Pelodiscus sinensis: one gene and its partners. The main gene of each other region encodes a partner of the protein of the gene in region 2 in a complex. Links are inferred from orthologs where the notes say so. Each region holds a gene or a part of one and is shown on either strand. Other genes may lie near its edges.

Region 1 (7,630 bases), on a different chromosome or scaffold from region 2:
TTGTGATCACAGAAAACGGCAAGATTACTAGGGGTCTGGAGAGGAGGCATTAATAATCCAACACTTGGATCTACAAATCTTGCATCTATTTGAGACGCAGGAAAGGAAGATGGTGGTGGAGCAGGTGGTAGCAAAGGAGGTGGTGGTGGAGGGGGTGGTGGTACTGCAGACAGATCTTCAGGTTGCTCTGTAAATTCTTCAGTCTACAAACAGCAAGAGAAAAAGTACATTTTAATCTGTTTTGGGAATAGGCCATCTAATCACCAGATTGTAGTCTGTAAACAACAATAAGCATATCCATTACTAGCAAAAACAGCTAAGAACTTCTTCATTAAAGTTTTCTGAGAACCATCCAAAATGATTCCAAGAACTCTCTCTCAGGTGTTAACAACTCAATTAGATATCCCATCATACATGTATAGGTGGAATTATTTTTCCAATGTACATCTCTGTGCACACAGCAGTATTGCATTTTGTCTCCCATTTTGCTGCCCAGTTTTTGGAGATCCCTATGTAACACTTTGCAGCCAGCTTTGAACATAACTATTTTGCAGGAATATTTTGCATTTGCAAATGTTGTCATTTCACCATTCAGTCCCTTTTCTAGATCATGAATGAATATGTTGAACAGCACAGCTCTTTGACGAAACCTCTCTCTGTTGCAAAAATGGACCATTTATTTCTACTCTTTATTTCTTATCTTTTAGCCAGTTATTGATCCATAACCGACCTGTTATTCCAGGACTAGTTCATTTCCTTAAAATCCTTTAGTGAGGCATCTTGCCAAAGGCTTTCAGAAAATTCAAATACACTAAACCACCCAAGACGTCCTTTCACAGATGCTTGTTGACCCCCTCAACCAATTCTAATAGATTGAAGCATAACTTTCCTTTACAAAATCCATGTTGACTCTTCCCCAACAAATCATGTTTATCTATGCACTTGGTAATTCTGTTATTTACTATGATTTCTACCAGTTTGCCTGGTAGCAAAGGTAGGCTGAACAGCCTTTACTTGTCAGGATTGCCTCCGGAGTCTGTTTTAAATATCCTCCAGTCATCTGGTACATAGGCTTTTTCAGCAGTTACATACTATAGTTAGTAGTTCTGCATTTCTTTTCTGAATTCCTTCAGACATTCTGAGTAAATGTCATTTGGCCCTGCTGACATATTACTGTTAAATGTATCAATTTGTTTTAAAATTCCACAATGATGCATGAATGGGACAATACTTCAGAAATATCACCCAAAAAGGACATCTACATGAGCTGTATCTCACCTACACCTGTCGTTTTGCATATATAGGTTGAACCTCCCTGGTCCAGCAACATCCATGGTCTGGCAGGACCATGGATGTTGCTGGACCAGAGGGCCTTGATGGCTGGGGCCCACTGAGAGTCCAGCAACCAGGAACTTGGCAGCTGGCAGCAGAGCTGGGCTGGCAGGGTCAGGAAGGGAGCCCAGCTGGGAGGCTGGCAACCCCATGGGAGAGCCGAGGCCAAGAGGCTGGAATTGATCTCCCCTGGTCTGGCAAACTCCCTTGTTCGGGACCAGTCAGGTACACAAACACTGTTAGCAAAACTACCCTATCCTGGAAGACCATCTTGGTTACAACAATCTCATGGCCCACTGAGATGCAGGAGGGTCACTCATTGGGCCTACTCACTAACCTAGTTGGCCGCTCTCTCCTCTAGACCCTTCAAAGTTGTCCTGCTCTCTGTTTAATATGCAAAAACACAAAGGGGCAGACAAAATCCAGATCTCCTTAACACGGTTCTTCTCCCTTCTCTGTATTAAAAAAATGCATATATTGCAGTATTTGAGTAACAAAAATTAAAGTATTATAAGAAAAAGTTTTCACGTTACCTTTATCTTCTCACTGGGTTCAGTGTAACAAAATATCGTGGGCACAGCATTTTCCTTCAGTAGCTTGTTATTGCACTCTCTTTTAAAGCAATCGGGAGTGAAGTGCTCTGAACAAATACTGCTATACTTTGTGGGCTTGAAATTTTTTCTTTTAACAGCAGCTTCCCATTTCTTGCAGAGGTCAGGTCTGGTGAGAGGAAACCTGCAAACGAGATGGACTTTCAGCGCCACTGAACCGCTTTCTAAGGAAAAGCGACAGCACTGCAGGCATACAAAAGGCACGGGTGCAGCACTCAGGGTTGGTCGGCATGGCGGGGCCAAGGAGCCCGGTGCTAGCTGCTGTACAAACAGGGATCAGAGAGGCAGCCTGCTGGCCCTGCGACATTCAGCGCCCTGGCTGGGTTTGCCAGCGCATACACCTACGGCGGGCATAGGGGCGCAATGGGGGGGCGCAAGGGGCCAGTGTCCGCAGGCAGAACAGGGTTTTGCACGGTTCGGGGGAACTGACAAGCAGGTGCTGCCGTGGGGCTGGCCAAGGCACAAGTGGCCAGGAGGCCTGGACAGGGAGCGGGCGGACTCGGAGGGGCATGGTCACTGCCAGGCCGGCTCATGGGCTTTGCCAGGCGCACACCGAGCCCAGCAGGCAGCTGAAGCCAGGCCTGGGGGCAGATGGGCCAGCCCTGCCCCTCATTGGCCCGCGGGCCGGACAACAGGCCCGGGCAACCGGCCCGCGGGCCGGACCAGGCTCGCAGGAGGGGGCGGGGCAGCCTCCCAGCGGCCCCTCCCTCCTGCCTTTCCCCCGCCCGACGGGTCCCACGTGCCCACGCAGCCCCGCCCCCTTATGGGTGCGCGCGTGCCGCCCCGCAGCCGGTGCGCACGCGCTCTGGGCTGCTCGCCAGTGACAGTTACTCCCCGCCCCCCCCCCGGGGGCCCTTCCCGCCGAGGCGCGCTCCCGCCCCGCGCAGGCGCGCTCCGGCCCTGTCCTCACTTGTGGAAGGAGATAGGCTTCTCTTTGTCGTATCGGTTCCGGCAGCGGTAGGCGGAGCAGGACTGCACCATTCTCCCCCGGCGGCGGCCGCCTGCCCCGCTCCGGAGCACGCCGGGGCCGAGTGCAAGGACTCGGGCGACCGCCAGTTACCGCCCGACCCCCATCCCTTTTCTATTAGCCCCTAGGAGCAGAAAGGGGACACGGCCTCTCCCGACTTCAAGATGGCGGTGCCAGCTTCAGGTGAACTCTCGCGATACCAGTGCCTCGCTCGCCTCCATTGGCCGTTCCCCTCCGCGAGGGTGGAGCCTTTTCGCGCAGCCCACCAATAGGCGTCGAGGCTCCGCGTGTGGCGCGGGGCCCCATTCGCCCAGCTTCCGCCTTATCCTTTGCCCCGCCTCCCTTCGCTCACACATCTGGATAGCAGGGTCCCTGTGCTTCCAGCGTGCGCCAGCAGGCGGTGTCCAGACTGCTTCATTGCTGCGGAGTCTCGCTCCAGTGCCTTTGGCCAGAAATTCTGCCCCTTCCCCTGCAGCTACTAGGGCTGCTCTCTGCCCTGGGTGAGGTGGGAAAGATCAGGCAGGCCAGGGCTCCTTCTTGCCCAGGGAGGGGCAGCCTAGGCTCCTGACCCGGCTGCATGAGCGGCCCTCCTTCAGCTGAGTGCGCTGCAGATTTGTTGTAATCCACCTGGTCTCCCAAGATAGGGGAGATTTTGGTAACTGCACTTGTCTACCTAGAATTTGTGGGGTGTGCCAAGTGGACTCTAGCAGCACTTTGATTGGATGCAGTGGGTGTGCAGGGCTTTCACAGTCAGTGCATGCAACTGCGCACACCTCGCTTCACCTACCCATGCATAAAAAAAACGTAAATGCATAGTCTGTAAGTCTAAACCTTAACGACTAACAAAACATGTCGATTGTATCATGAGCTTTCATGGGCTCACTTCTTCAGATGACTGGAGTATTGAAAGTCCAGATCCAAGAATAAATAAGGGAGGGGGAGGAGGGGAAAAAGGGGAGAAAAAAGACAGTGAATACCTGTGCATATCATTTTAGTAATACATAGGAGCAGGGGGACAACTTATGCCCACAGAAAACAGCTGAATCTGGCAATCTTGCCATGGGCAACACTAAAATTTGTTGTGGGCCACACACAGAACCCCATTGGGCCACAGGTTACCCACCACTGTTCCTGTCTTTCAGTTCCTCCTTCCCCCCCACCCATCCATACTTTTTCAGGACTGAACAGTGGGAGGAGAGGTACAGCAGCATAGTCAAACACCCCAGAGATGTGTGGCAATGTAAGCCGTGTGGCTACGGAGACGCTCAACCAGCCAGCCTCCTCTAGGCCAAAAGCAATGAACTATGCCAAGAAGCCCAATGAATAGAGGAAATGTGATGGGAAGCAAGGAAGGAGGGATTTCTGGTGGTAGGGGTCCGTGGATCATAGGGAAATAAAGAATTGGTATATTAATTAGAGATGTAAAGCACTGCCTAACTAGCCTGCTTACAAGGAAAACTGGTTAACCTGCACCCCACCTGGCCGGGAGCAGCCCTCTATCCATGGCTGGGCCCACCATGCCCTGCCATGGATGGGGAGCTGCTCCAATGCCCCCCACCCTCCCAGTCACAGGTCAGTTAATTAAACATGTAGTTTAACTTGGTTAACATTTTTAATGGAATTTTACATCCCTAATATTAAATGGGTGGGTCACAAAGACTTGAGGTTCATTCATTCAGCCAGCTAAGGATGGTAAACAGTGGCTCACAAGGAGCTATCAACAGTTTGGTCAGGGCCACATCAGTCCCCCTGACCCAAGGAATTTTAAATAGAGATTGTAACTAATGGTAACTCCCCTCCCCATCCTAGTAACTGAGGACACCGTTTTCCTACAGCTCAAAAGTACCTACTTCCCCACTAAACACAACCTTGAACACACATTTAGCATTTTCTGCTATATTTTGTTGTACCCTGAGTATAGTAAAGAATTCATCGGTCAGTTGCATACAATATACACACTGGCTAAGGCTAGGTATTCTGCACCGCCTTAGCCTGTTTCACTGTACACTTTACCTGATCTGCTAGGGGAGTGCAGCTGCACTGCACTGCCTCATTCCCTATAAACTTTCCAAAATGCCCTTTGCAAGGTTAGTGGAAATCTGAGAGGCTGTGTTGAGACACAACAAAGCAGGTAATTAAAGTCGGTGTGAGGGCAACAGGCAGAGTTATGGTGGCAGATGAAAATTTTAATCTGGCACGTCCTGATGTTTCAGCGCTTAATTATGCAACCTGCGCGTTTCCTTGGCGTACTCTCTGCAAAGAAAGTCAGATGGGGGCGATTATTTCAGCCCTACGGTCCCCCGCCACTGGCCGTGGGTCGGTCTGTTCCTTGGGTTTCTCCTTGGGACTCTAGAGGGATGCAGACGGGCTCAGAGGCAGGCTACGGAGTTTGGAAAGGTGCGCGTTACAGGCAGGGACTCACGCCCCAGCCTGTGCGGGGCGCGAAGGCGATGGGGCGCGACCCCACCCCAGCCCGCACACAGTCTCCGCTCGCGGCAAGGGGCAGCGCTCTGACCCAGCCCCTTTTCCCAGCTGGCGTCGCTGTGCAGCCCGCAGCGAGGGAGCGTGGGCGGGCGTGTGGGCAGCTGCCAGCGCGGAGCCGTGTGCGCTCCCATGCCCAGGCGGGAGGGAGAGCGCGCCGCGGCCGGCGGAGGGGCGGGGAGAGCGGGCGCGAAGGCGGCGCTGCCGCTGGGAGGGGGTTTGACATCAGTTCCCCTGTAGGAGTTTCGGTAAATGCCACAAGCCGAAGGCGCGGAGCCCTGGGCGGCGGAGGAGGCTGCCGCTGCCCCCGGGGGGAGCCGACCCGCCTGCCAGGGGTGAGCCCGGCCCCCGCCACCTCCATCGCGGACCCCCGGGCGCAGGGCTGCGGCGGGCGGAGGGCCCCCCAGACGCCCCCGGCGAGCGCACGCTCCCGCAGCCCCCGCGGGGGCTCCCCTTGCTCCCGCTGCGGCCGGAGGCGGGGCGGGCCCCCTGGCCGGGCGGGCGGGCAGGATGAGCGGCGGCCGCAGCGGCCGGGCGGCGGTGAAGATGGAGGCCCCGTTCTACCCCGAGGAGGGGCTGGAGCTGCTGCCCGACTTCGTCCCGCTGCCCGGCTTCGGCGGCCCCGGGCAGGAGGCGGCGGGGCACAAGCTGCTGCTCGGGGCCGGTAAGAAGCGGGAGCTGGCGGGCCCCCTGGCGCTGCCGGGCTCCTTCCCGCTCCGGCCGCCCGGCGGCAGCGCCCGCAGCCCCGCCGCGCTCAGGCTCAGCCCCGCCGCGGCGCCCCCGGGCTCGGCCGCGGGGGGAGGAGCCGGCGGCAGGGGCGGCCCGGAAGCGGCTCTGCTGGCGGCCGGGTCCTCGGCGGAGCTGCCGCTGCTGAAGCTGCCGCCCGCGGCGGACCTAGAGCAGCTGCTGATCCAGGGCGGCCCGGGCCTGGGCCCCGCCAGCCCCTGCGCCGCCCCGCCGGCGCCGCCCCCCGCGGCCGGGCCCTTCCTCTACCGGCAGCCGGTGACGCAGGAGCAGGAGGGCTTCGCCGACGGCTTCGTCAAGGCCCTGGCCGACCTGCACAAGCAGAACCAGCTGCTGGCGGCGCCGCTCTCCCCGGCGCCCTGCGGCCCGGCCCGCCCGCCCAGCGACCCGCCCGCCGTCTACACCAACCTCGGCAGCTTCAACCCGGCCGGGCCGCTCAGCCCGGCGGGCTCCTACTCGGCCGCCCCGCCGCCCGGCCTGCCCTTCTCGCCCGCCCCGCCGCCGGGGCTGGGCCGCCTGCCCGTGCCCGGCGCCGCCAGGGCCCTGGAGGAGCCGCAGACTGTGCCCGAGGCGGCCCCGCCGGGCGAGGCCGGCAGCGGCGCCCCGACGCCGCCCTCGCTGTCGCCGCTGGACGCCGAGAGCCAGGAGCGGCTGAAGGCCGAGCGCAAGCGGCTGCGCAACCGCATCGCGGCCTCCAAGTGCCGGCGGCGCAAGCTGGAGCGCATCGCGCGGCTGGAGGAGAAGGTGAAGGCGCTCAAGGGGCAGAACGCCGAGCTGGCCGCCACCGCCAGCCTGCTGCGCGCCCAGGTCAGCCAGCTGCAGGGCCGCGTGCGCAGCCACCTCTCCAGCGGCTGCCACATCAGCGCCGCCGCCGGGCCGCCCGCCGCGCCGCCCGAGGGCCCGCCCGAGCCCGCCGCGCCGCAGACCAGCGCCTGCTGAAGCCCGCCCGCCTTCCCCGAGGTGCCTGGGAGGATGCGAGACTGACGGGCTCCCCATAGCTGCTGGAAGGAAGGCGAGGGGGAGCCACGCTGCGCGCCACGCCGGCTGAGCGCGGCTAGTTCCCAGGCAAGGGGCTGGTGTGCGCGCCGTGCAGCTTTCCCAGGACTGAAAGAATCGCTGTTTACACAAAGAGTCCACTTTATTTCCCTGCTAGAGGCGTTCTTTCTAACCCCCCTGGAGCGGGGCTTGATTCAGAGTTGTCTATTCCCAGCTTGAAAAAGCTCAAATTCTACATTTTTTTTTTTTAAAAAAAGTGTGTGTCTGTGTGTGTGTGTATAAAACAAAATGTGGCAGTGTATTTCTTTCTTAGCAGTGAAAGGAATTTTTTAAGATTGTATTGCTGCAGAGCAGCTTTTCATTTGCAGCTGATAGGGAAGCCCTGCGAGTAAAGCACTTGAATGGGCCTAGTTTTAAATCTAGCCTTCGCTGAGAGAGATTCTGCCACACAACTTAGGTTAGAAGGAATCCTATTTAATGACAGGTTCAGCTGTAAGAA
Region 2 (7,757 bases):
GATGGGAAACCTAAGACTCCAGCCCCAGTGAGTATATATACAGAAATCCCATCTGTAGTCTTTGCATCCTCATGATAGAAGACTTCATAGTGCAGGGAAAGTCTGCTGGGTCTGGCACTCTCGGTGACCACAGAATCCACAGCAATGACAAATCAGATAGTTACCTGAAATCATAAACCTGTCAATATAATAACAAATGACTGAGTATACTGCCAATGTGCCAGATATGTCAGCAGCTTTGTGTATGACCTTTGATCTATACCATTCCCATTTTGTGTGATCTAGGAAGTTGAAGATGGGGATGGTGACCTTGCTGATGAAGAAGAAGGCTCAGCACAACAGCCACAGGCTAGTGTTCTTTATGAAGATTTGCTTATGTCAGATGGGGAGGATGATGATGATGATGGGAGTGATGAAGAAGGCGATAATCCCTTTTCATGTAAGTCCTAGTCTTTCAATCACAGCACTGAGCAGGAATCAGTTGTTGCCAAACCCAGCCAATTTCCATGCCCTAAAACTTCAGTAGCATACACTGCAATATTTGATTGTAGATATACAAGACACTGTATACTCATATATTGGTTACAAAGTTTAGATGTTATGGTGCAGTTACAAAGGAGATGTCAAGAGCAGGAAGAAAGAACCAGATGAATTTAGATGAAGACTAAGATGCAGTGAAATGCTAACTGTAATCAGGAGAGAATGTTGGGTGTTCACACCCGATTCAGATGGTGGAATTCTGAAGCTTGGAAGAAAAGAGGCTGCAGTTCAGATGCAATGCTGAGGGATACGTGGTCTAAGCGGAGCTGCTGGTGCAAGCTCGCATGAGATTTGGATAGTAAACATGAAACATGGGATCCTGTTGTGAAGGACTGGAAAAGGGCACTGTTCAAGCTGCACAGGTTGTCTGATACAGAACACAAGGTGAAATGGATGAGTAAGAGGAGGCAATTATTTCAGTGCAAGAGTGACAGATAAGATGCTGTGTGGAAGATAGATGGTTCTTGTGAAAGAGGCAATTATTATTGAAAACCAGATAATATTGCAGACTACAAAAGTATGCAAATCAATCCACCAGGTAAAACAGCTGTCAAGATTAGTAAGAGGCTCTTTTCTGTTTGTTGCACAGCTATCCAGCTGAGTGAAAGTGGCAGTGATTCAGATGTGGAGCCCACTGCAATGAGACCAAAACAACCTCACGTCCTTCAAGAGAACACACGAATGGGCATGGAGAATGAAGAGAGTATGATGTCCTATGACGGAGATGGTGGAGAGACCTCTCATGTTATGGAGGACAGTAATATCAGGTAATCAAAGTAGAGAATAATAGAAATGTAGGAATGCAAGCTGCGAGGCAGTGGCTTCAAGTTTTTTTTTTTCCTTGACAGCCAATTGAAGAAAATTGTTGATGCCCATGACCCAACATAATTATCTTGTATCTAGTCTGTGGTGGGACTGGGGATGTGGGATTTGGGTGGTGGCCCTGGGTTTGGGGGGTATCCCAGGGCTGGTGCAAGTAATTGGGGTGTAGAGTTGGGGCATGGGCTTCCTTCCAGCAGCTCCTGGTCAATGGCACAGTGGGAATGCAAGCGATGTTCTAATTTTTTCCATCCACGTGTGGAATGAATTTTATGTGCACAGGGTGTGACACAATCCTCGCTCAAGCCCTTTGCCCTGGGACCTCTTCTGGAGTCATAAATCAACCAGAAACCCTTTCTGGTGCAGTCACCAATGCCTTTTATTGTCAGTGCCAATTTCCCACCACCTTCTATTTACAGAGCTTTTGTTCACAGTAACCTCAGCCAGCCTCTCCTCCTGCCTGAGGTGCACACTCATGCTGACTTCTCCCCTGTGGCTGCTTTATATAGCCTTCTGGCTAAAGAGGCCCACAGGAATGGGCTCACTCAGCTGTAGTGGCAGAGCTCTGGCTTAGCCGGCAGACTGTCACAAGGGGCATGCATGGTGGTTCACCACCAGTAGAAACACTGCTAATCAGTTGGGCAGTATTTGAAACTCTCCTGCACAGCTTACAGGGGACACTGGTGCTAAGGCAGGCTCCCTGCCTGTCCTGGAACTGTGGACTCTGTTGTGCCCCATAAGTGGCCAATAGCAGGTCTGGTTCCTAGCAGGTCTGCGCAAGCGGCTCTGTGTCCTGCTCTGATCTGCAGGCCCTGCCTCTCTGTTCTCATTAGCCGGGAACCCGTACTTAGGGTGGGGGCTGCTAGCGGAGTCCTGTGGCCCCCTGCCAAAGTGTCACACTTGCCACTGGATACTTCTGGGGTGCAGTGTAGTATGATGCTGGGACAGTCAGGAAGTCTTATTTAGAATGCCTGCTGTTTACCTGGTCACCCTACAGCGAGTAGGGTGCCTTACACAGTGCCTGACATTGCTTTACTCAGTTTTGGGTTGTGATTCGTATTTTGAAAACCACTGCTATAAGGGAATCTTTCAGTTACCAAGTCCTGACATTTTGAGCAGCTCTCCAGACTCTCTTGTTTTTTTTGGAAACAAGCTGAAAGTGTGTTTGTAATGATATTCCATTCTTTCTTTTAGTTATGGCAGCTATGAGGAGCCAGATCCGAAGTCCAACACACGAGATACCAGTTTTAGCAGCATTGGAGGGTATGAGATCTCGGAAGAGGAGGAAGAGGAGGAAGAACAACGATGTGGGCCAAGTGTGTTAAGTCAGGTTCATCTTTCAGAGGATGAGGAAGATAGTGAGGATTTTCACTCCACTGCAGGAGACAGTGACCTGGACTCAGATGAATGAGAGACCCTTCGTTACCGAGGGATGTAGCACTCGGTGGCCTGGATTTAGATGAATGAATTTCCATCTTTTTTTTTTTTTTTGGTACTAAGGGACTGTGCGCACTGTTAATTTTGAAGCATCTTATTTTTCTTGTATAATTTCAATGTTCATAGAATTTTTACAATACATTTATTAAGTTATCTGAATTGTGAATAACAAGATTTAGACAAAGATAACGTGCTGTGATTTGTGCAGCAATCCAAGGGTTCTAGTTACTGAGTATAACTACAGGTTTATAATCTGGTTCACTTTCCCTTATTCTTTTCAGATACACACTGAAAATTTCTTACATATATTAGGCTGGTGTTTAAATACCTTACATTGATCTTTGATATGACTGAGTTAACCAGCCCATACATTTGTTGAAGAAATAAACAATTGAAGAAATATACAAAACTGAGTAAATTTGATTTTTGAACATTTAAAGCATCTGTTTTCTCAGTATTAAAGAGGGCATGGCCCTTCATATTTTCTGAAGTGTTACCCCAAGTATTCAGAAAGTCAGGCCCAAAAGCCTCTATGGATGCTTTCCCTGAAATTCTGCCTACACTAGTTGCTTGAGTTAATGACCTTGAACATCTTATTCACAGGAAGAAATCTTCTGAAGCTCCTTACAGTTTGTTCTAGAAATTGCTAACCCGTCGTCATGCAGGAGGAGTTCAACAGGAATTTCTCTAGGCTTTACTTGTGCTTTAAACTATCTGAGTTCATTTTATTTTTGCTTTAATCTAATTAACAGAAATCATAGAACCATGTAGGAAGTGCTGTAGAGCCTCCTGTTCCTCTGCTGTATAACATATTGGATTAATCCTGAAATTATATCAAGATTTTGTGTATTTTGACTATTTCATTGTAGGATGGTGTTCTGTTTCATTGTCCTTAGATTTTGCAATTACAGGCCTTAGTGCCACTTGTGATTTCATAACCACCTTTGCCAGGTATGGACTTGCTCTTCCTTTTATGGGACAAAAGGGAGAATAGATTGTTCACCATGAAATTTAAAATCGGATGGGTTTAGCTGCTACAGTGAATGCTGATCCTGTTCTGTTCTTTCAAATTCTGTCTTCCTTGGAACAATCCCCTTGGTACATATCTACAAAAGGTAGTTGCCACAACTCCACTCAATTATAAATGATGAATTTCCTGACCTGTGTATCTAACTCCTCAACATGTCACATGATCCATTGCCATAGTGTCAGTAAGTGAAAGAAAGGAACTTGCACGGGGCTAGTGCAGGCATTGAAATACCGTTGTAAGGGCAGCGCGTGTGTAATACTCAGTGGTTACACCTGAAACTCTGCCCCCCCGCCCCCGCCTGCGCAGAGACGTGGTAGGATCCGCCTGCAGCCCCCTCACTGCCGGAGCCCCCCGGCCCCATCGGTCAGGCAGGAGGAGGCTGAGGCAAGAGGCGTGGCCAGCCGCCTCCCAGACACGTATCCCGCATGTAGCAGCTGCCGCGGCGCCCCTCCCTCCGCCTGCTCCTAAGCTCCGCCCCAGGGGCGGGGCTGCATCTCCCCTGGCCTGCTTGAGGCCCCCGGCTCCGAGGTGGCTGCGAGCGCGAGGTAGAAAGGGTGGCGTCGCGTGACGCATGCGCGATGAGCGCTCATTTGTCGCAATGGTCTCCTGCGGAAGGATACGGATCAGATGAGTGACAATTCTCAGTAGGGTTCTACGGCTCACTAATGAGAGAGTGCACCGAAAGGAGGCGAGAGCGCGAGTTAGTTCTAGAAACTCATCTGTCGCAACTGGGTTTGATAACGCCTAGGATTCGATCCCTTTTCCTACGCGGACTATTTTGTGTAAGGAAATAGATCCGGCAGGAGCCATACGCCTGACGGGGTGCTTCCTCCGCCGCTGCCGCCATTTCTGGAGCCGCCGCCTTAGCGAAGAGGGGGAGGTTGGGTCGCTGTGGTCCGGCCGCTGGGTCGCGTCGCCTGGATCTCTCCGCGCCCGGGGGAGCCCCGCCCGCCCGCCCGCGCGCCCCCGATGGCGACCTCTGTGGGGAACGTGGCTGACAGCACAGGTACCGGCCCGCGGGCCGCCCGCGGCGCTGTGGGTGCGGCCGGCGCTGGCGGCTCCGGGCCTGTCCGCGCGGGGTGCCGGCCGGCTGCGGCCGTGGGCTGGCTTGTGCCGCGAGCCGCCCGCGATGAGGCCGCGTCGGGCGCGGCGATGCGGTGCGGGGGGACGTGCCCGAGGCCGCTGGCCGGGCTCAGCCGCCGCCCCGGGGGCTCGCCGCGTCTCTCGCCCCCGCCCGGATGGGCGCCACTCGAGTTTCTTCCGCGCTGTCGCCAGCATCCATCGCCGCTTTGTGGCGGCCACAGCCAGACTGCGAATCGCGCCCAGTCCCGTTGTTTGCCTTTTCTGTTGTCAGCTTCCGCTCTCATCATCGCCTGTAAAGCGGCACCGAGCGCGTGTGGATGCGTGGGAGAGCCGTGATGTAGTTCGCACGTGTGTGAAAAGCGCTAAGAAATGTGCCTTACAAATACTACTTAGGAAATGTCTGGAACCATCTTCCGACCCCATCTCCTTAGTCCCAAATCAGTTTTTCAGATCCTTTTCTGTATTTTCAGGAGTATGCACTAAAGTGAACCTAATACTTTATATCATAAATTGATAGTTTAATGGGAAAATGCTTTTAAAAACTGCTGTTAAGATCAAATCTTTCACAAGAAAAGTAGCTTTATCTTATGTTTTCTATGCTGGTGAGCACTTCATAAAATAACTTCTTGCCACAGGAGGCAATTAAATTATTGTATTTCATCAAGGTATTAAAGTCTGGGATTCTTCAGAAAAATTTCAAATTAGTGTACTTATACTGAACAATATAAATAATTGTTAGAGTTCTTTATGTGCATGAGGGAGATTCTTCCTACAATCTACTATCATTCATTCACTTTCAAAACTAGTTTGACTTGCAGTGGACTCTAGGGAAGGGATTAATTGCAAGAGTACACATTTGTTGAATAAATTGGAATCTATATATATCCATATAAAAGAATAGAGCTCTGATCTAGCTGGCCACCCCAAATCCTCCCAATACTTGCATATAGGACCAGATCCAAAATTTTACCGTTGTTAGTTGACACTAGTGTGCCTGAATTTAATTGGTGGGGAGAAATTGCACATTTTTTGAAAGTTTTGACAAAATGAAGGAAATCTGAGTTTGGATTTTTCTAGCAAGCTGAGGACAGTTGAAACAATCTCCCAAATTTGGAACAGAAGTAAAACATCTCTCATCAACTTCCTTATATCTGTCACCCTCAAAGTCTCTAGCCTTAAGTGCAGTTTTAAGCTTGGAACTTGGATATTTGCTTTTTTGGCAAATTGGGGAGAGGAGAGGTTAGAAATTTGTATTGAAGTATCAAAGCAAACAAGTAAATCAGGTTATTTTGTTTCGCAGTTGTGTATGCCATTTCAGTTTTTCAATCTTGTTTTAAGGGTGAGTAATAGTACGTAGAAATTGATTTCCTCCTTTTAGCTTTTTTTATCTTTATTTCTGGCAATAGAAGAACACTTCAACAGCATAGATTTGGAACAAAAATCAGACACCAGCTATTTGAAAGACTAAAACTTAATCAGAGGTAGCACTAATGGAAACTGGGTACCCAACAGTATGGTCTATAGGTAGTCTTTCGAAGCCCTCCACTAGATCAAGATCCTGGAAATATAGGCAGTCCCTGGGTTACGTACAAGATAGGGACTGTAGGTTTGTACTTAAGTTGAATTTGTACTTAAGTCGGAACTGGTGTCCAGATTCAGCCGCTGCTGAAACTGACCAGCTGCCCACTACAGGAAGCCCGAGGCAGAGTTTCTCTGCCCAGGGCTTCCTGGAATCAGCCGCTGATCAGTTTCAATAGCAGCTGAATCTGGACGCCTGGGACAGAGCAGCTGGGGTGCTGCTGTGTAGGTCCCTGCAGCGCCGCACCTCGGTGCTGCGGGGAGCAACCCGGCAGCACCCCACCTGCTCTACCCCAGGTGTCCCCAAGTCAGCCGCTGCTGAAACTGATCAGCGGCTGATTCCAGGAAGCCCGGGGCAGAGAAACTCTGCCTCGGGCTTCCTGTAGTTGGCTGCTGGTCAGTTTCAGCAGCGGCTGACTTGGGGACGCCTGGGGCGGAGCAACTGGGGTGCTGCTGGGTTGGTCCAGTACCGCCGCTCCTAGGCGCTGCTGGACCAACCCAGCAGCACCCCAGCTGCTCTGCCCCAGGCGTCCCCGTCAGCCGCTGCTGAAACTGACCAGCAGCGGCTGAATCAGGACGCCTGGGGCAGAGCAGCTGGGGTGCTGCCGGGTTGGTCCAGTAGTGCCGAGGAGCGGCGCTGTGGGACCAACCGGCAGCGCCCCAGCTGCTCTACCACAGGCGTCCGCGAGAAAAGCCTGATCATCTGGGGGAGGCGGGGCTGCACTAGCTGCGCCGCCACCCTCCCCCCCCCCCCCCCCCGCCAGCAGACCATGGAGACGCAGGCGGCGGGACCGAGACGCGCTGCGGTGCCGCCGCCCAGGTCCTCTGCGGCTTTGCTCCGCGTCTCCCTGGTCTGCTGGGGGGGGGGGGGGAGGCGCCCCCCCCCAGCAGACCAGGGAGACGCGGAGCAGCTTTTCTCGCCCCGGAGGACGTGGGCGGCGGGACTGTGGCGCGTCTGGGCGGTCCCGCCGCCCGCGTCCTCGGGGGCGAGAAAAGCCCCGTTCGTAAGTACGGATCCGGCTTAAGTCGGATCTGCGTAACTCAGGGACTGCCTGTAGTTTCATAGTCCAGAGTCCAGTTTTCATAGGCTGTGACTAGTAGGTATACACATTTAAGGTTTCGCTTATTCTTTCATCTTATTTTGGGGGTTTGTTTGCAAATAATTTGAGCCAGTCTTTTCTAGGAGTTTTTTGTAGGAGTTTTCCCAAGGTATGGGGTAACACCTGAGGGATTCATAGTTATGAACCTGACCAGCATGTTGCTAATTATG
Region 3 (7,244 bases), on a different chromosome or scaffold from region 2:
GATATAGCTGTTTAAACGATTAACGGATAAACCTAGGCTTATCGGTTAATCCAAACAACTACACTCAACTCTCCTCCCTTTCTCCCCCCTTACCATTGTATCTGCCTGTATGAGAGCCGGCAACCAGGGGGAAAACCAGCTTTAAGCTTGCTTCTTGCACTAGCCGGTTCCCGCGGAGGCCCCTGTTCCCCACCTCCCCGCTGCCTCCAGAGCAGCCCCAGTCTGTGGGGAGCTTGGTTGTTCCACAGACAAGGGCTGCTGCCATCCCACACTACTGCCTCTTCATCAGAAGTAGCAGCGCAAGGTAGCAGAGAGCTCGGACCGCACTGGATGCCAGCCCCCCCCCCCCCCCCGGGACTATTTTAATAACCATGTAACTACTAAAAACTGTTGCAGCTATACAATTACTAAAATACACGGTATCTAACATCCCTACGTCAAATGCCCTTGCTTTATGTGAATATCACTTTACTAATAATTGGTAGGAAAAAATCTACATGAACGAAAACCAACAGAATCTGGCAACCCTGTGTGTAGAGAACGATAAACAAAATGTCTAGCAGGACACAGAACCCCAATGGGCAGCATGCTGCAAATGGCCCTTCAGGAAACAAGGCATGAAGAACAATAGAATTTCAGAGAATGGAGTGCAGGGAATGTCAACTTCACTTTCTACCATTTAGCTATTGTATTTAGCGAGCAATCAACACCTTAAAAAAAATAAAGATTTTTTTTAACATCCCTCTCAGATATCCCTTTAGTTTGGATAAGACTTGTAATTTCTATACGCCAATTCAAATTATTTTTCCAGAGCCACATAACATTTAATGCTACACATTAATTTGGGAGCATAGACATACTTTTCTATGTGGTTCTCAAAAGTCAGTTAACTGCCCAGAGTGAAACGAAGAAAAAAATAAGCAGATGCATCGCTTTCACATTGGCTGTGTCTAGACTGGCATGATTTTACGCAAATACTTTTAACGGAAAAGTTTTTCTGTTAAAAGTATTTGCGCAAGAGAGCATCTATACAGGCACGTGCCTTTGTGCAAAACATTTGCTTTTGCACAAAAGCATCCGTGCCAGTGTAGACGCTCTCTTGCGCAAGAAAGCTCTGATGGCCATTTTAGCCATTGGGCTTTCTTGCGCAATAAATTAACGTGGCTGTCTACACTGGCCCTCTTGCGCAAGAGGGCTTATTCCTGAGCAAGAGCATTGGAGTATTTGTGCAAGAACCACTGCTTTTGTACATTACAAATTCAGTGTTCTTGCGCAAATAGTCGCAGCCAGTGTAGACAGGCGGCAAGATTTTTGCACAAAATGATTCCAGTCTAAACGCAGCCATATAGTATTACCAATACAATTACATTCTAACCTAAACTACCTGTGTTTCTAGTAGGGATGTAATTGTGTAGTCAATTAACCAATAAACAAAAGATTATAGGTTAATGCCATATACTACATGGATTTCCCCCTCCTCCATCCCCACCAGTAAATTTTTAAGCAGGCTAGCCAGCAGCCAGGCTCAGTCCTTGCTTGCACCAGGTCTGGGACCTACCCCTGCTACAGCTCTGCATTTGAAGTGCATTAGGAGCCAGACAGGCAGCCCAGCTCAGTTCTGACTCACACTGGGTCCAGGAGCTCAGACCCTGTCCCCCACCCTCTCACAGGGATTGCTGCCACTCTGTGCTGCTACCTGTAGATCAGAGGCAGCAGTGCAGGGTAACAGGCAGCAGGTCCACCAGGGAAACTGGTTTTTAAACTGCCTCCCCTCATGAACCAGCTCCCACCTGGCACCCCACGCTGCTGCCTCGGATAAAGAGGCAGCAGCGCATAGTGGCCGAGGGCTTCTTGGGAGTAAGTCACATTGGCTGCTGGCCCTACCCCCAAGGACTACAGAATAGTCAAGTAACTGATAAGAATTCATGAGTTAATCGACTATTCAATTAACGGGTATTTGACATCCCTAGTTTCTAGTCTTTCTACAAGAGATTAAATTCTGCCAGATTTCCCAGTGAGTCTGTAAACCAACTTGCCTGATGAAACAATAGGAATGATTTGAATCCAAGTTCACTAGAAGTGAGAAACTCAGTGCAGACCCACTTTGCCCATTATTCTGACACGTGCAGTGTTACTTTCTGTTTCTGCTTTACTGCCTAACAAAAACGTCAACGTCTCCCCTTTGAGTGTAACTAAGTGCTTGTGTGCGCGACTCATTCTGAAACCCATATGGTTTTTACCAAAGCTAACGAAAGCAGCAGCCATTCACCAAGGTAGAAACAGAACCAAGTGTCAGGCCAGAGTTTTCCCCGGCCAGATTCCCTTCCCGGGACAAACAACGTTCCCTACGCTCGCTGCCGTTTTCTCGCGGAGACATGAGACCCCCCCCAGAGGCGCTTCCTGCTCCCCCAGGGCCTCCCCCCGCCGCGGTGTCTCGCCCAGGCGGAACGGAGCCCAGCGTCCCCTGCAGAGGCCGCGGGGCTCAGACACGCACGGCCCCGCGCCCGCTGCTCAGCCCGGTTACACAACCGCTCGGAGCCAGGCCGCACTGCCCGCCCGCTGCTCCCGGGCCGCGCGCGGCTCCATCCCGCCCGCAGCGAGCGGGCGCCCCGGGCCGGCCAGGCCAGACGCTGCAGCGGCTCCCGCCGCCCCGCGCTGCCCTCGGTTCCCGCCCGGCGCGCGCACCGGCGGCGGCCACGCGGGCTGAGGCGGCAGCGCCCGGGAGAGCCCCTCGCGCCGCCCGGCCCCGCCGATACTCACCTCCCCGCGCCGGGCCCCGCCCCGGGCCACAGCGGAGCCCCGCGAGCGCGTCCAGCCCGCGCCCGGGGCCTCCTCAGCCCATCCCCGCCCCTCCCCCCTTTGTGCGGCTGGGCGGACCCGTTCCGCGCGGGGCCCGGCCTCCTCGGGACGGGCCGCTGCGGGGCGGGGCCGGGCGCCCGGCCGCTGCCGGTGTCTTACCGAGGGATCGGCCGCGAAAGGGCGAGAAAGGAGCCAGTCACCGCCCGGCCCCACTCCCCGCGCGAGCCCCGCGCCACCGACCGAGCAGCGACACAAAATGGCCGCCGCGGCTGAGGCGCCGCCGCGAGGGAGGGGGCTGGCGCGGGCTCTCGGGGGAGGGGCGGGGCCAAGCGGAGGGGAGTGGGGCGGGGTAGAAACAGGGGTCCCCCCCCCCAGGGCGGGGCCTCGGAGGGGGCAGGTGAAGGGGCGGGGCCTCAACTGTGCGCCGGAAGGGGCGGGACGAGGCGGAACTTTCGCGGGTCTCCTTTCCCCTCCCCTTCCGGCACGTGTGAGGCAGGGCCCCGCCCTTCTCTGGGATGCAGGTGGCTAGCGAGGCAGCTGGCCGAGCTGGTACCATCCCCTGCTGCAAGCCTGACCCTGGCTTGCCACCCCCCCCCCCCCCAGGGATTGGCCGAAGAGCCCCTTGATCCTGAAGCAGCTGGGCCCAAGACATCAGCATTGCAGCACCCCACCCCGCAGGGCGTCTATGAGCTACAGCCCCGAAGTTCCCAACCCATCGACCCAACAGAATTCTTCCCCCCATCCTCCTCCTGTTTTTCCTGTTAGTGTTTCATCATGGAGGTGTTAGAGCACTGCAAATGGAGGAAAAGAGAAAGTGAGGAGAGACTGAAAGAAGGTGCGCAAAAACAGCTGTTCTTGGCAAAAACTTGCCCGGTATCTACACTGCACGCATGTTCTTGCACAAGTATATTTACAGTATAGCATTGTAAAACAGGGCATCTTCTGGAAGAGTTATTCTTCTCCCCAGGAGGGATAAGCCCTCCTGTACAAGAGCTCTTCCACAAGAGGGCAGTGTAGACAGGCAACATGAATTTCTCGCGCAAGAAGCCCCTATGGTTAAAATGGCCATCAGAGCTTTCTTGTGCAAGAGAGCATCCACACTGCCATGGATGCTCTTGCGCAAAAGCACATGCCAGTGTAGACGCGCTCTTGTGGAAGACTTTTTGAGCAAGAACTCTTCCGCAAAACAGTTCTTGTGCAAGAAGCTGCTAGTGTAGACATAGCCTGAGGGGGCCCATCACAAGAACTCAAATCTCCAACACAATACCATGCTGTAGTGAAGCTGAGTGACCTTCCATTGAGCTGGAGGATGAAGAGCCAACTTGGTGATTCCTAGTGGTCAGAGCTAAGCCAGGCTTGCCTCTCCCACCAGAACCCAAGGGATGAGAAAGACAGCCTAAAAGACAGAACCCTTGATGCAGTTGAGTCTGAGCCAAAGAAGGGAGTAGATGGCTTCCAGGCCTAGAAAAGAAGGGGAGAGAATAGGGCTACGTCTACATTGGCAAGATTTTGCGCAAATACTTTTAACGCAAGAGTTTTTGCGTTAAAGTATTTGCGCAAGAGCGCGTCTACACTGGCATGTGTTTTTGCGCAAGAGAAAAGCCATTTTAGCCAGCGGGCTTTCTTGCACAAGAAATTCATGTTGCCTGTCTACACTGGCCTCTTGCGCAAGAACACTTGTGCAAGAGGGCTTATTCCTGAGTGGGAGCATCATAGTTCTTGGGCAAGAAGCACTGATTTCTTACATTAGAATGTCAGCGTTGTTGCGCAAGAACTTGTAGCCAATGTAGACAGGTGGCAAGTTTTTGCGCAAAAGTGGCCACTTGTGCACAAAATCTTGCCAATGTAGACACAGCCTAGGGGTTTGCAGAGCCCTGGAGCTGAACCCACACTGCACCAAGCCCTGCCCCTGGAGGAGACTAGCCCAAGTGAGGAGTTGCCAAGTCTGCCATTTGCCACATATCCAAAGTGTGAAGTTGCACCCCCATATTTTTTATGGAACTATTCTTTTGAATATGAACAAGAACTCAGATAAGCTCTATGCAAACTGTGGCACCGTCACTGAAAAGCTTGCAATCTGCTGAATGTGTATATTCTACTGGCTGGACTTACTTGGCATTTCCCGGGAAACTGGAGGAACAAAATTTAGAAAAACAGAAATTGGTCCTGACAGCCTCCAACCACACTGCAGCTGCCAGTGCCTGACATCTGGCCAGTATGGTAGGGGGAGAGACTTTCAGGCAGTCCAGGGCTTTATAAAGCAGTGAGCAACCGACCAAATAGCTTGCAAACAGGTGAGTGCTAACAGCGAATTTAGAGAGGGAGTTCTCCAGGTAAAGGAGAAGCAGATACAGGACTCTTGAGGGGAGTGGTTGTCTGCAGTGTGTGTTGTGTTTGGGGCTTTCTTGCTGTGTGCTGAGCTTGTGTTTGTGAGCGAGGCTTTTTTTTTCTCCCTTCCCCTTTCCCCTCCCCCTCCCGGAGTGTGTGCTGTGACTGGCAGGTGGAAACTGTTGGCTTCTAATTAAAGTTTGAATTGTAGAAACCTCTGCTGATTGGCTGAGCCTTGGTAGGGGGAGGGACTTTCAGGCACTCCAGGGCTTTATAAAGCAGTGAGCAAGGAGCTTGTGAACAGGTGAGTGCTAACAGGGAGTTTAGAGAGGGAGTTGGGAAGGGGGCAAGGTTCTCTTGCCATTCTTTTAAATCCTTTTTCCAGGACAGCAGGTATGGATGGTGATGGGTCTGCTGTTGTTACCTGCACAGCGTGTGCAATGTTTGTCTTCCTCCTGGAAGAAAGAAGGGATTTCATCTGCAATAAGTGCAAGCTGGTCGCCATTTTGGAAGAAAAAATTAGAGGACTGGAGGCCCAAGTGTAGCCCCTACACTTGATCAGAGAGGATGAAGACTTCCTTTATAGAAGGCAGAGTTTAATCCTGAAAGCAAGGCAGGCGGAGGAGCCAGAGAGGGCAGCACAAGACCAGGAAGAGAACTGGTAGCATGTAACTTCTAGAAGGAGAAAAAGGCCAGCACAGGAATCCCCCAGTGCTATAGAGGTAAGTAATCGCTTTTAAGCTCTCTCCACAGGCTCTGCAGTGCTGAATGCTTTGGAAGGGACCTCACAAACAAGAAACCGGAAGGGAACACCATCTACTGGAAGGCATGGGATGTGTAGTCCTAGGGATGGGGGTTCCACAACCATCAACCCCAAAACAAGACAACAGGTGGTGGTGATCGGGGACTCCCTCCTAAGAGGGACTGAGCCATCCATCTGGCTCTCAAGAGGTGTGCTGCTTACCAGGAGCTTGAATTCAGGATGTGACTGAGAGGCTTACAAAACTGATCAAACCTTCAGATCGCTACTCCTTCCTCCTCCTCCACGTGGGAACTAATGATACAGCCAAGAATGAACTTGAGCAGGTTACTGCAGATTATGTAGCACTAGGAAGACGGATCAAAGAATTCGGAGCGCAAGTGGTGTTCTCATCCATCCTCCCTGTTGAAGGAAAAAGACTGGGCAGGGATCATCAAATTGAGGAAGTAAATGTCTGTTTGCACAGGTGGTGTCTCAGAGAGGGCTTTGGTTTCTTTAACCATGGGACTCTGTTCTGGGCACAAGGATTGTTAGGAAGAGATGGGATCCATCTCTTAACGAAAAGAGAAAGGAGCATCTTCACGGGCAGGCTTGCAAACCTAGTGAGGAGGGCTTTAAACTAGGTTTGTTGGGGGACGGTGACCAAAACCCTGAGGGGAGTGGGAAAGTCGGATACCGGGAAGATATGCAAAGAGGAACAAGCAAGAAAGGAGGACCCCTGATTCTAATGGAGAAGATAGGGTGATCAACTGGTTATCTGAGGTGTTTGTACACGAATGCGAGAAGCCTGTGAAACAAACAGGAAGGACTGGTGGCCCTGGCCCAGTCCAAGAAATATGATTTCATTGGGATAACAGAGAGTTGGTGGGATGACTCGCATGACTGGAGCGCTGTCATGGAAGAAAATACAGGACTATGTAGCACTTTAAAGTGCTACATAGTCCTGTATTTTGTTTCAGCTACACCAGACTAACACGGCTACATTTCTATCATTATTCTGTCATGGAAGGGTATAGACTGTTCAGGAAGAACAGGCAGGGGAGAAAAGGAGGAGGAGTTACACTGTATGTAAGAGAGCTCTATGATTGCTCAGAACTCCAGTATATGGAGGAAGGAAAACCTGTTGAGAGTCTATGCGTTAAGTTTAGAGGTGCAAACAACAGCAGTGATGTTGTGGTTGGTGTCTGCTACAGGCCACCGGATCAGGTGGATGAGGTAGCTGAGGCTTTCTTCAGACGACTGGGAGAAGCTTCCAGATCACAGGCCCTGGTTCTCGTGAGGGACTTTAATCACCCTGACATCTGTTCAGAGACCACTTTTTTCTAATTTTTTGGTAGGGAAGTAGGGGATAGGCATT
Region 4 (7,192 bases), on a different chromosome or scaffold from region 2:
GCAAATGAGAGATTTGTTCAGATTGGTATCATAGGTGGCTGTCATCTGTCTATCCAGTATGTCATTAGCAATCCACTCCTTTATAAAATGGGATAGTGCAGATCTGTATCCTGTACGGGTTGAGTGAAATTCACTGGGGTTTGCAAAGCACAGCCAGCTCTTTGGGTAGAAACGGATAGAGAAGACTAAGCACCTGAATTAAGTTGTCCAGATTCTGAGGTGAGGGTTTCTGTCCCTAGGCTGTGCTTTCTGAGAGGCCTAATGTAAAATGGGACAGAAGATTGGAAGCTAATATTGGGAGTAGAACCCTTTTGGTTCCATATTTACCTTTTGGGATTGCTGAGATTCTGTCTTGGAGCAAGGTCCAGGGGGCAGTACTACAGCTTCCAGCATGCCCTGGAAAGATGTTCACCAGCCTGCTGGATTTGGGTCCCAGCACTGGACCCTGAGCTCTCTTTTCCTGACTCTGAGCGGAGTTCAGGCACTGTTTCTGCACACGCTTTCAGGGTGCACGTTTACTTTGTAGTGCCCTTTTCTGAAAGCCTAGGCCTTGAAACGAGGTCTGTATTCCCTGAAACTCCCCAGTTGCTCTAACCATGTGGGCATTCTGGCTTCCAGTTCACTGCCTCAGGGACACGTGAGCATTGAAGCAAATGAACACACACATTTTCCAGCAGGTTTCTAACAATATTACTCTTTACTTAGACAGCACAAGAAACACCGATCTAGGCAAAATAAAAACCGCTACACACCAGTCCCTGCTTCACTTTTTTCACCACTTTTGAGTGTTCTTTGGGATTTGGATCAGCATCCTTTCAGGGTGTCCAAGATACTCCTCATGCAGCTCCTGGCTTCTTCATAATATGGAGTATCTTTCTCTCCTGCAGGCAGCTCCCTCCAGCCTTAGCTGGTACTAATTTCCAAAAGATCCTTCTACTACAAAAGCCATGCCCCTTTGTTGCTGCCTCCTGCCCCAAGTTTCCTTTGTCTCGCTGGCCAGCCCAGTCTGTTTTGAAGGGCTCTAACCACACCTCATCTCTTTGTTCCCTCCATTGGGGAAATTCCGTTCCTTCAAACTAATCTTCTGCAGAGATGGAGGAAAAATGATGCAGTTACTCCTTTGATCTGTTCAGGGGTTGGCAGGCTTTATTGACTGACCTGTTTATAGACCAACATGCAGGGTCTACTCCCATCTCATTTGCATAAGGAATATAAGGCAAGAACATGATACAGTGTATTATACAAGCATCAATGTACCGAGTTCATAATCACAAACAGAACTTCTAGGCTACATATTGATAGATTCCCCAAATCATCACAGAGCTGGTAGGGACTGCCTTCTTCTATCTAAACCAAGGAGGAAATTCAGCACCAAAAGGGAGAGGATGGCATGCAGCAGAAGGAAAGAAGTCATAGTTTTAATTCATTGTTTTTTCCTTCCAGATGATGATTCCTGGGATCTTGTCACCTGTTTCTGCATGAAACCTTTTGCTGGACGGCCAATGATTGAATGCAATGAGTGTCACACCTGGATCCACCTCTCCTGTGCCAAAATCCGCAAATCAAATGTGCCAGAGGTGTATGTATGCCAGAAGTGCCGGGACTCCAAGTTTGATATTCGCCGCTCAAACCGCTCCCGGACAGGTTCGCGCAGGCGCTTTCTGGACTAGCGGAGGAACTACAGAGATGGCTTACTGCTCGGGCAGATGAGCCATGCAAAACTCAGAACTCCAGCCAGGGGGGCAAAGAGAGCTCCTCTGAACTGCAGTTGGCTCAGGCAAAAGTGACAGTGTGAACAGACATGAGGTGTTCAATGTCTGAGTGCCAGGGCTGGGAGAGGCCTGCTGGCCAAAACTTCTGCTAGAGGCTGATTATCTATAGCAGGGACGTACTAAATACCCCTGGTTCAGTGGGGTTTTGTCAAGTTCAGACTGTGAATGGGATGATCATTTGAGAATACTGCCTTTGCCGCCTATCAATGTTCATCCTACTGGGAAAGCGCTAAGCAAGTGCAAGGCTTCTAGGTGCTGAAGAAAATAATCATCCTCCGAAGCAGGAGTAGGAGGACGGAAATCTCTGGAAAGTCTGAAAGTAAACAGCCATACATTCTAGTTTCACTGTAATACTAGACTTGCCCATTGGTCCAAAAGAATTTCTGAAGGCTCCTTCAGAATGAGCTTGAATGCACACTGAACTCATGTGACCTGCCTCCTCTTCAGCTGGGTAGCGGGAGAGTATCCACTCACTTCTATGATTTGGCTTTGTTTCTGGTAAAAACAGTAATTTCCCACAGCTCTCTGGATTGTTGGCTTTAAAGGGGAGACGCAGGGTTTTCTTTGTTTCCTGGGGAGGGAAGGAGGGCTGTGCTGGAAGTAGACATGTCAATTTTCTTCCTTAATTGAGCTGAGTCCTCTTAAAATCATTGTCATGATTGTGTTTTGCAAGAGCAGCTCAAACATAAGGTTGTTCTGTGCTTCCATCCACTCTGTTCCACGGCCCCGTGTGGTGGCTCATCTCAGACAGAAAAGCATTGTTCTGAGACACCAATTCCCTTCCCTCCTCCAGCCTGGAAGTCGAGCTTGGCTACACAGTGGGCCTTGAAAAATTAAAACCTGGGAATTCAGAATGGCCTGGTTTGGATTTGGGCGGTTCCCATGTGAGCACTAGGGCTGGAATTACCTGCATTTTTAATACTGTTTCCTGAGCTGGATTTGTAAATGGGAAGACTAGAAAATCTTTCAACAGGTTTGTATGCCCCTCTACAGATAGGAGCAAATGCATGCAGTATGGCATCCAGCCCAACCCTGTAGAGGTGGCCTGTGCACCTGGCAAGGTGGGCTGCAGTTGAGAGAACACTCCAGAGCTGCAGAGGATAAGGGAATGCATCAGCACCAGAAAACGTTCCTATCTCGTGACTACCCTTTTAGGTAGCAGTGAGGGGACAGTGGACGCAGGGCTAGAGAATGTTTCAGGGAAACGAGACTAGTATATGAGGCCACTGAGGTGTAGGCGCTTTCCTTCTAATGACCAAACTGAAAATATATTGTATTTATTGCACAAACTGGATATTTGTTCTTGAGAGAATTCTCCTAAGTTGTATGATGCTTAATGAACAATGGACGTTCTGTCCTGTCAGCCTATTAGATGATCTGGAGTCACTAGTTGGCATTTTTTTATATCTGAAAGAAGACAGAACTGCCAGGAATCAATGCAGCAGATGATCTGTATCAGACTGTCGCCTTATTGAATACTGATTTATCAGGAAATACATCCTGGCAGTGTCAGGGACCCTCCTTGGGACACTTAACACGAGGCTACACAGATCACTAGAACAGCCTGTATATCACTGCCCTGCAATGCCCAGGGGCTTGATGAGATGGGACCATTACTATAGAACGGCACTGTTTTATTTCACTGTCCATTCTAAAACTTGGTGCAGTTTGAAAAGCCCATCAAGTGAATTTGATTTCTAGATGCAGCAATTGAAATCTAATTTTATAAACAGCTCCACTTAAATCTAAGAGAGTGATGACACACTACATACCAGAAACGAAATGGACCCAGCACTTTGCCCAAGATTTGCCTGGTAGGGCTGTCTTCTGCCACCAGATAAATAACCAAAGTTCCCAAGTGTTGCAGATTTCACGCTGCAAGGTAGGCGGCTTTGGAAGAAATCTGCTCAGTCGTGTAAGGGTTTAGCCTGATGTCGAGGTGTCTGCAGTACACCTGGATCGCTGCAGGCTGAAAAGCAAACTGCTGCGTGAGCTGCCTGTCTCAGCGGTCACCCCAGCCGGCGCGTGCCAGCCCGCCTGTTGCCATGGCAGCGGAAGGGTGTCCGAGCCCCCCCCCCCGTGACTCCAGTTCCCCGTTAGTTATTTCAGCGAGTGGCGCTTGTCTCGCGCGCAGAGCCCGGCACGAGCGCGGACCCAGCTCCAGCCGGCGGGAGGGGCCCGGGCGCAGCCGCGGGGGGAGGGGCGCCGCGGAGCGGTTTGACGGTGACGAGCAGGAGGGGAGGGGCAGGGCCCCTGGCGGCGCGATGCATGCTGGGAGCGGCGGCCCTTGCGGACAGTGTTTCACTCGCCGTGCCCGGGGGGCGGGGGAGAGAGAGACCAGCGCCCCGGCGCATGCGCGGGAAATCCAGCCCAGCAGGCGCGTGCGCCGGGGCGGCTCGCTCTGAGGGGCGGGGCGGCCATCTTTGTTGGGGGCAACGCGCGGGGCGGGCCATGCCCAAGTCCTGCGCCGCGCTTCGGTGCAGCAACCGCTACAGCAGCCGCTGCCGGCAGCAGCTCACCTTCCACAGGTACCGCCCCTCCCCCTCCCACAGGTACCGCCCCTCCCCCTCCCCCCTCCCCCAGGTACCGCCCCTCCCCCCTCCCACAGGTACCGCCCCTCCCCCTCCCCCCTCCCACAGGTACCGCCCCTCCCCCCTTCCACAGGTACCGCCCCTCCCCCTCCCCCTTCCACAGGTACCGCCCCTCCCCCCTTCCACAGGTACCGCCCCTCCCCCAGGTACCGCCCCTCCCCCTCCCCCCTCCCACAGGTACCGCCCCTCCCCCCTCCCACAGGTACCGCCCCTCCCCCTCCCCCCTTCCACAGGTACCGCCCCTCCCCCCTCCCACAGGTACCGCCCCTCCCCCTCCCCCCTCCCCCAGGTACCGCCCCTCCCCCCTCCCACAGGTACCGCCCCTCCCCCTCCCCCCTTCCACAGGTACCGCCCCTCCCCCTCCCCCAGGTACCGCCCCTCCCCCTCCCCCCTTCCACAGGTACTGCCCCTCCCCCCTCCCCCAGGTACCGCCCCCCCCTCCCCTCCCCCAGGTACCGCCCCTCGCCCCTCCCCCAGGTACCGCCCCTCCCCCTCCCCCCTTCCACAGGTACCGCCCCTCCCCCTCCCCCAGGTACCGCCCCTCCCCCTCCCCCCTTCCACAGGTACCGCCCCTCCCCCAGGTACTGCCCCTCCCCTCCCCCTTCCACAGGTACCGCCCCTCCCCCTCCCACAGGTACCGCCCCTCCCCCTCCCCCCTTCCACAGGTACCCGCCCCTCCCGCTTCCACAGGCACCGCCCCCCTCCCCCCTTCCACAGGCACCGCCCCCCTCCCCCTCCCACAGGTACTGCCCCTCCCCCTCCCCCTTCCACAGGTACCGCCCCCCTCCCCCCTTCCACAGGTACCGCCCCTCCCCCTTCCACAGGCACCACCCCTCCCCCCTTCCACAGGTACCGCCCCTCCCCCTCCCCCTTCCACAGGTACCGCCCCTCCCCCAGGTACCACCCCTCCCGCTCCCCCTCCCCCAGGTACCGCCCCTCCCCCTCCCCCAGGTACCGCCCCTCCCCTCCCCTCCCACAGGTACCGCCCCTCCCCCTTCCCCCTCCCCCTAGAACCGCCCCTCCCCCTCTCCCCTTCCACAGGTACCGCCCCTCCCCCTTCCACCGGTACCGCCCCTCCCCCCCTTCCACAGGTACTGCCCCTCCCCGGTACCAGCTCCTCCCCCCTCCCCTTTCACAGGTACCGCCACTCTCCCAGGTACCGCCCCTCCCCCTTCACAGGTACTACTCCTCCTGCCTTCCTGGTACTAGCCCCTCCCTCCCTTCCACAGGAACAGGTCCCTCCCCCGATATCAGCCCCTCCCCCCTTCCACAGGTACCGGCCCCTTCCACAGGGGCTGCCCCCCCACCTTTCACAGGTACCAGGCGCCTCCCCTTCTCACCTTCCAGAGGTACCGCTCCCCCACACCTGCCACAGTTACTAGCCCCCCTTCCTTTCATGTGCTTTCCACAGGGAGTAAAGTCCTGCCCCCCCCCCCCACATCTGCCGCAGGTACCAGGGTACCACCCCTTCCCTTGCTACTTTGGCTCAGGCCCTTCCCCACCTTGCCTCTCCCCTGCAGGTTCCCGTTCAGCCGGCCAGAGCTGCTAGCACGCTGGGTGGGGAATATTGGCCGTGGTGATTTCCAGCCCAGTTCGCATACAGTGCTCTGCTCACAGCACTTCCAGCCCGACTGCTTCAGCGCCTTCGGCAACCGCACCAACCTCAAGCCCAATGCCGTGCCCACCCTCTTCGCCTTCCCCTGCACCGTCTCGGTGAGCCGCCAGCTGGGCCCTAGCCGTGCTGCAGGGAGGGGGCGGGGCAAGTGGTTAGAGCAGGGCCATGAAATGGGCAACTTATTGGGCACTGCAGTCCCTCCTTTCCCCTTCTGTACAATGGGCACAAGAGAACTGAGCTCACCCTGTCCTCTCCCAAAGCATCACTTTTTCACAGGTCATGTGAGCTGCCTCCGTGTCCCAACTGCTTTGCCCCTTGGCTCAGTGAAGATGCTGCTTCCTGCTATTTGTTTGCTTAGGGAGGTTGGAGAGATTTAAAAGCAGGTTAGATAAACACCTGTCAGGGACGGTCTAGATCATGTCTGGGCAAAATAGAGCCTGCCGGCTGGATTTGGCCCATGGATGCAGCAGAGAGCCTCAGGCAGGTTCCCTGCTTGCCTCACCTCACCCACACACTGCTCAGAATAGCAGCTGCTGGGCCGTTTCTCTTTCAAAACTGTGAGCCTGGAGGGGATGAGGGGGAAGGGTTAAAGCACTGCCCCCCACCTCCCCACACCCCTGCCCAGCACAATCCCCTTGGCTGGTTTCTGGCATGAAACACCACATCCCCCGCCTCTCCGGCTGGTAGTTATTACACTAGGGATGTGAAGGACTAGTTGACTATCAAGTAAGTAAATACTTATTGGGTAGTTGAGTCGACTAGTTGATTCCCCTGCCTCTTGCTGTCTCTATCAGAGGCAGCAAACTGGGGGGCAAGAGAGGATACTTCAAAGCAGCAGCGCCGCACGGAGCAGATCCTGGGCTCCATGTGGTGCTGCCCCTTTGAAGTACTGCACAGAGCCCGGGATCAGCTGTGCAGCACTGCCCCTTGCAAACGCCGCCACGCCATTTCCAAGCGACAGCGCTATGTGGAGCCTGGGGTCAGCTTGGGGACTCCCTAGCTGACCCTGGACTCCCTGCGGCAGTCCCCAGCTGATCCCAGGCTCCAGCATGGCATTTCAAAGCACAGAGCCCGAAGTCAGCGGGACTTCCCTCTGGCCCCGGGCTGCATGCGGAGTTCCACATTCCTCCTTTGAAATGTGGAAGTGACTATCAACTATTGATGGAAATTCCATCAATTACTAAATTACTCATTGGTTAACATCCTTAATTCAC

What was found.
Region 1: OGT (region 2) and THAP1 share a complex: the UniProt entries of both Homo sapiens proteins name them as parts of the THAP1/THAP3-HCFC1-OGT complex. The link is inferred for Pelodiscus sinensis from reciprocal best matches to the Homo sapiens genes OGT and THAP1.
Region 3: OGT (region 2) and PHF20 share a complex: the UniProt entries of both Homo sapiens proteins name them as parts of the NSL complex. The link is inferred for Pelodiscus sinensis from reciprocal best matches to the Homo sapiens genes OGT and PHF20.
Region 4: OGT (region 2) and THAP3 share a complex: the UniProt entries of both Homo sapiens proteins name them as parts of the THAP1/THAP3-HCFC1-OGT complex. The link is inferred for Pelodiscus sinensis from reciprocal best matches to the Homo sapiens genes OGT and THAP3.

Annotation. Positions count from the first base shown.
Region 1 is NC_134716.1:3,815,825-3,823,454, forward strand, and holds the start of THAP1 (THAP domain-containing protein 1), read right to left. Parts: upstream 3,076-7,630; 5' UTR 2,925-3,075; coding exon 2,854-2,924; intron 2,068-2,853; coding exon 1,866-2,067; intron 204-1,865; coding exon 1-203. Other genes in the region: transcription factor JunD-like, read left to right, coding at 5,902-7,074. UniProt on the Homo sapiens protein: DNA-binding transcription regulator that regulates endothelial cell proliferation and G1/S cell-cycle progression.
Region 2 is NW_027466001.1:364,256-372,012, reverse strand, and holds the start of OGT (UDP-N-acetylglucosamine--peptide N-acetylglucosaminyltransferase 110 kDa subunit), read left to right. Parts: upstream 1-4,686; 5' UTR 4,687-4,795; coding exon 4,796-4,832; intron 4,833-7,757. Other genes in the region: TAF1 (transcription initiation factor TFIID subunit 1), read left to right, coding at 1-27, 286-439, 1,130-1,307, 2,554-2,770. UniProt on the Homo sapiens protein: Catalyzes the transfer of a single N-acetylglucosamine from UDP-GlcNAc to a serine or threonine residue in cytoplasmic and nuclear proteins resulting in their modification with a beta-linked N-acetylglucosamine (O-GlcNAc).
Region 3 is NC_134728.1:32,241,734-32,248,977, reverse strand, and holds the start of PHF20 (PHD finger protein 20), read right to left. Parts: upstream 3,115-7,244; 5' UTR 2,959-3,114; intron 1-2,958. UniProt on the Homo sapiens protein: Methyllysine-binding protein, component of the MOF histone acetyltransferase protein complex.
Region 4 is NC_134733.1:24,452,046-24,459,237, forward strand, and holds the start of THAP3 (THAP domain-containing protein 3), read left to right. Parts: upstream 1-4,144; 5' UTR 4,145-4,223; coding exon 4,224-4,300; intron 4,301-5,883; coding exon 5,884-6,076; intron 6,077-7,192. Other genes in the region: PHF13 (PHD finger protein 13), read left to right, coding at 1,444-1,670. UniProt on the Homo sapiens protein: Component of a THAP1/THAP3-HCFC1-OGT complex that is required for the regulation of the transcriptional activity of RRM1.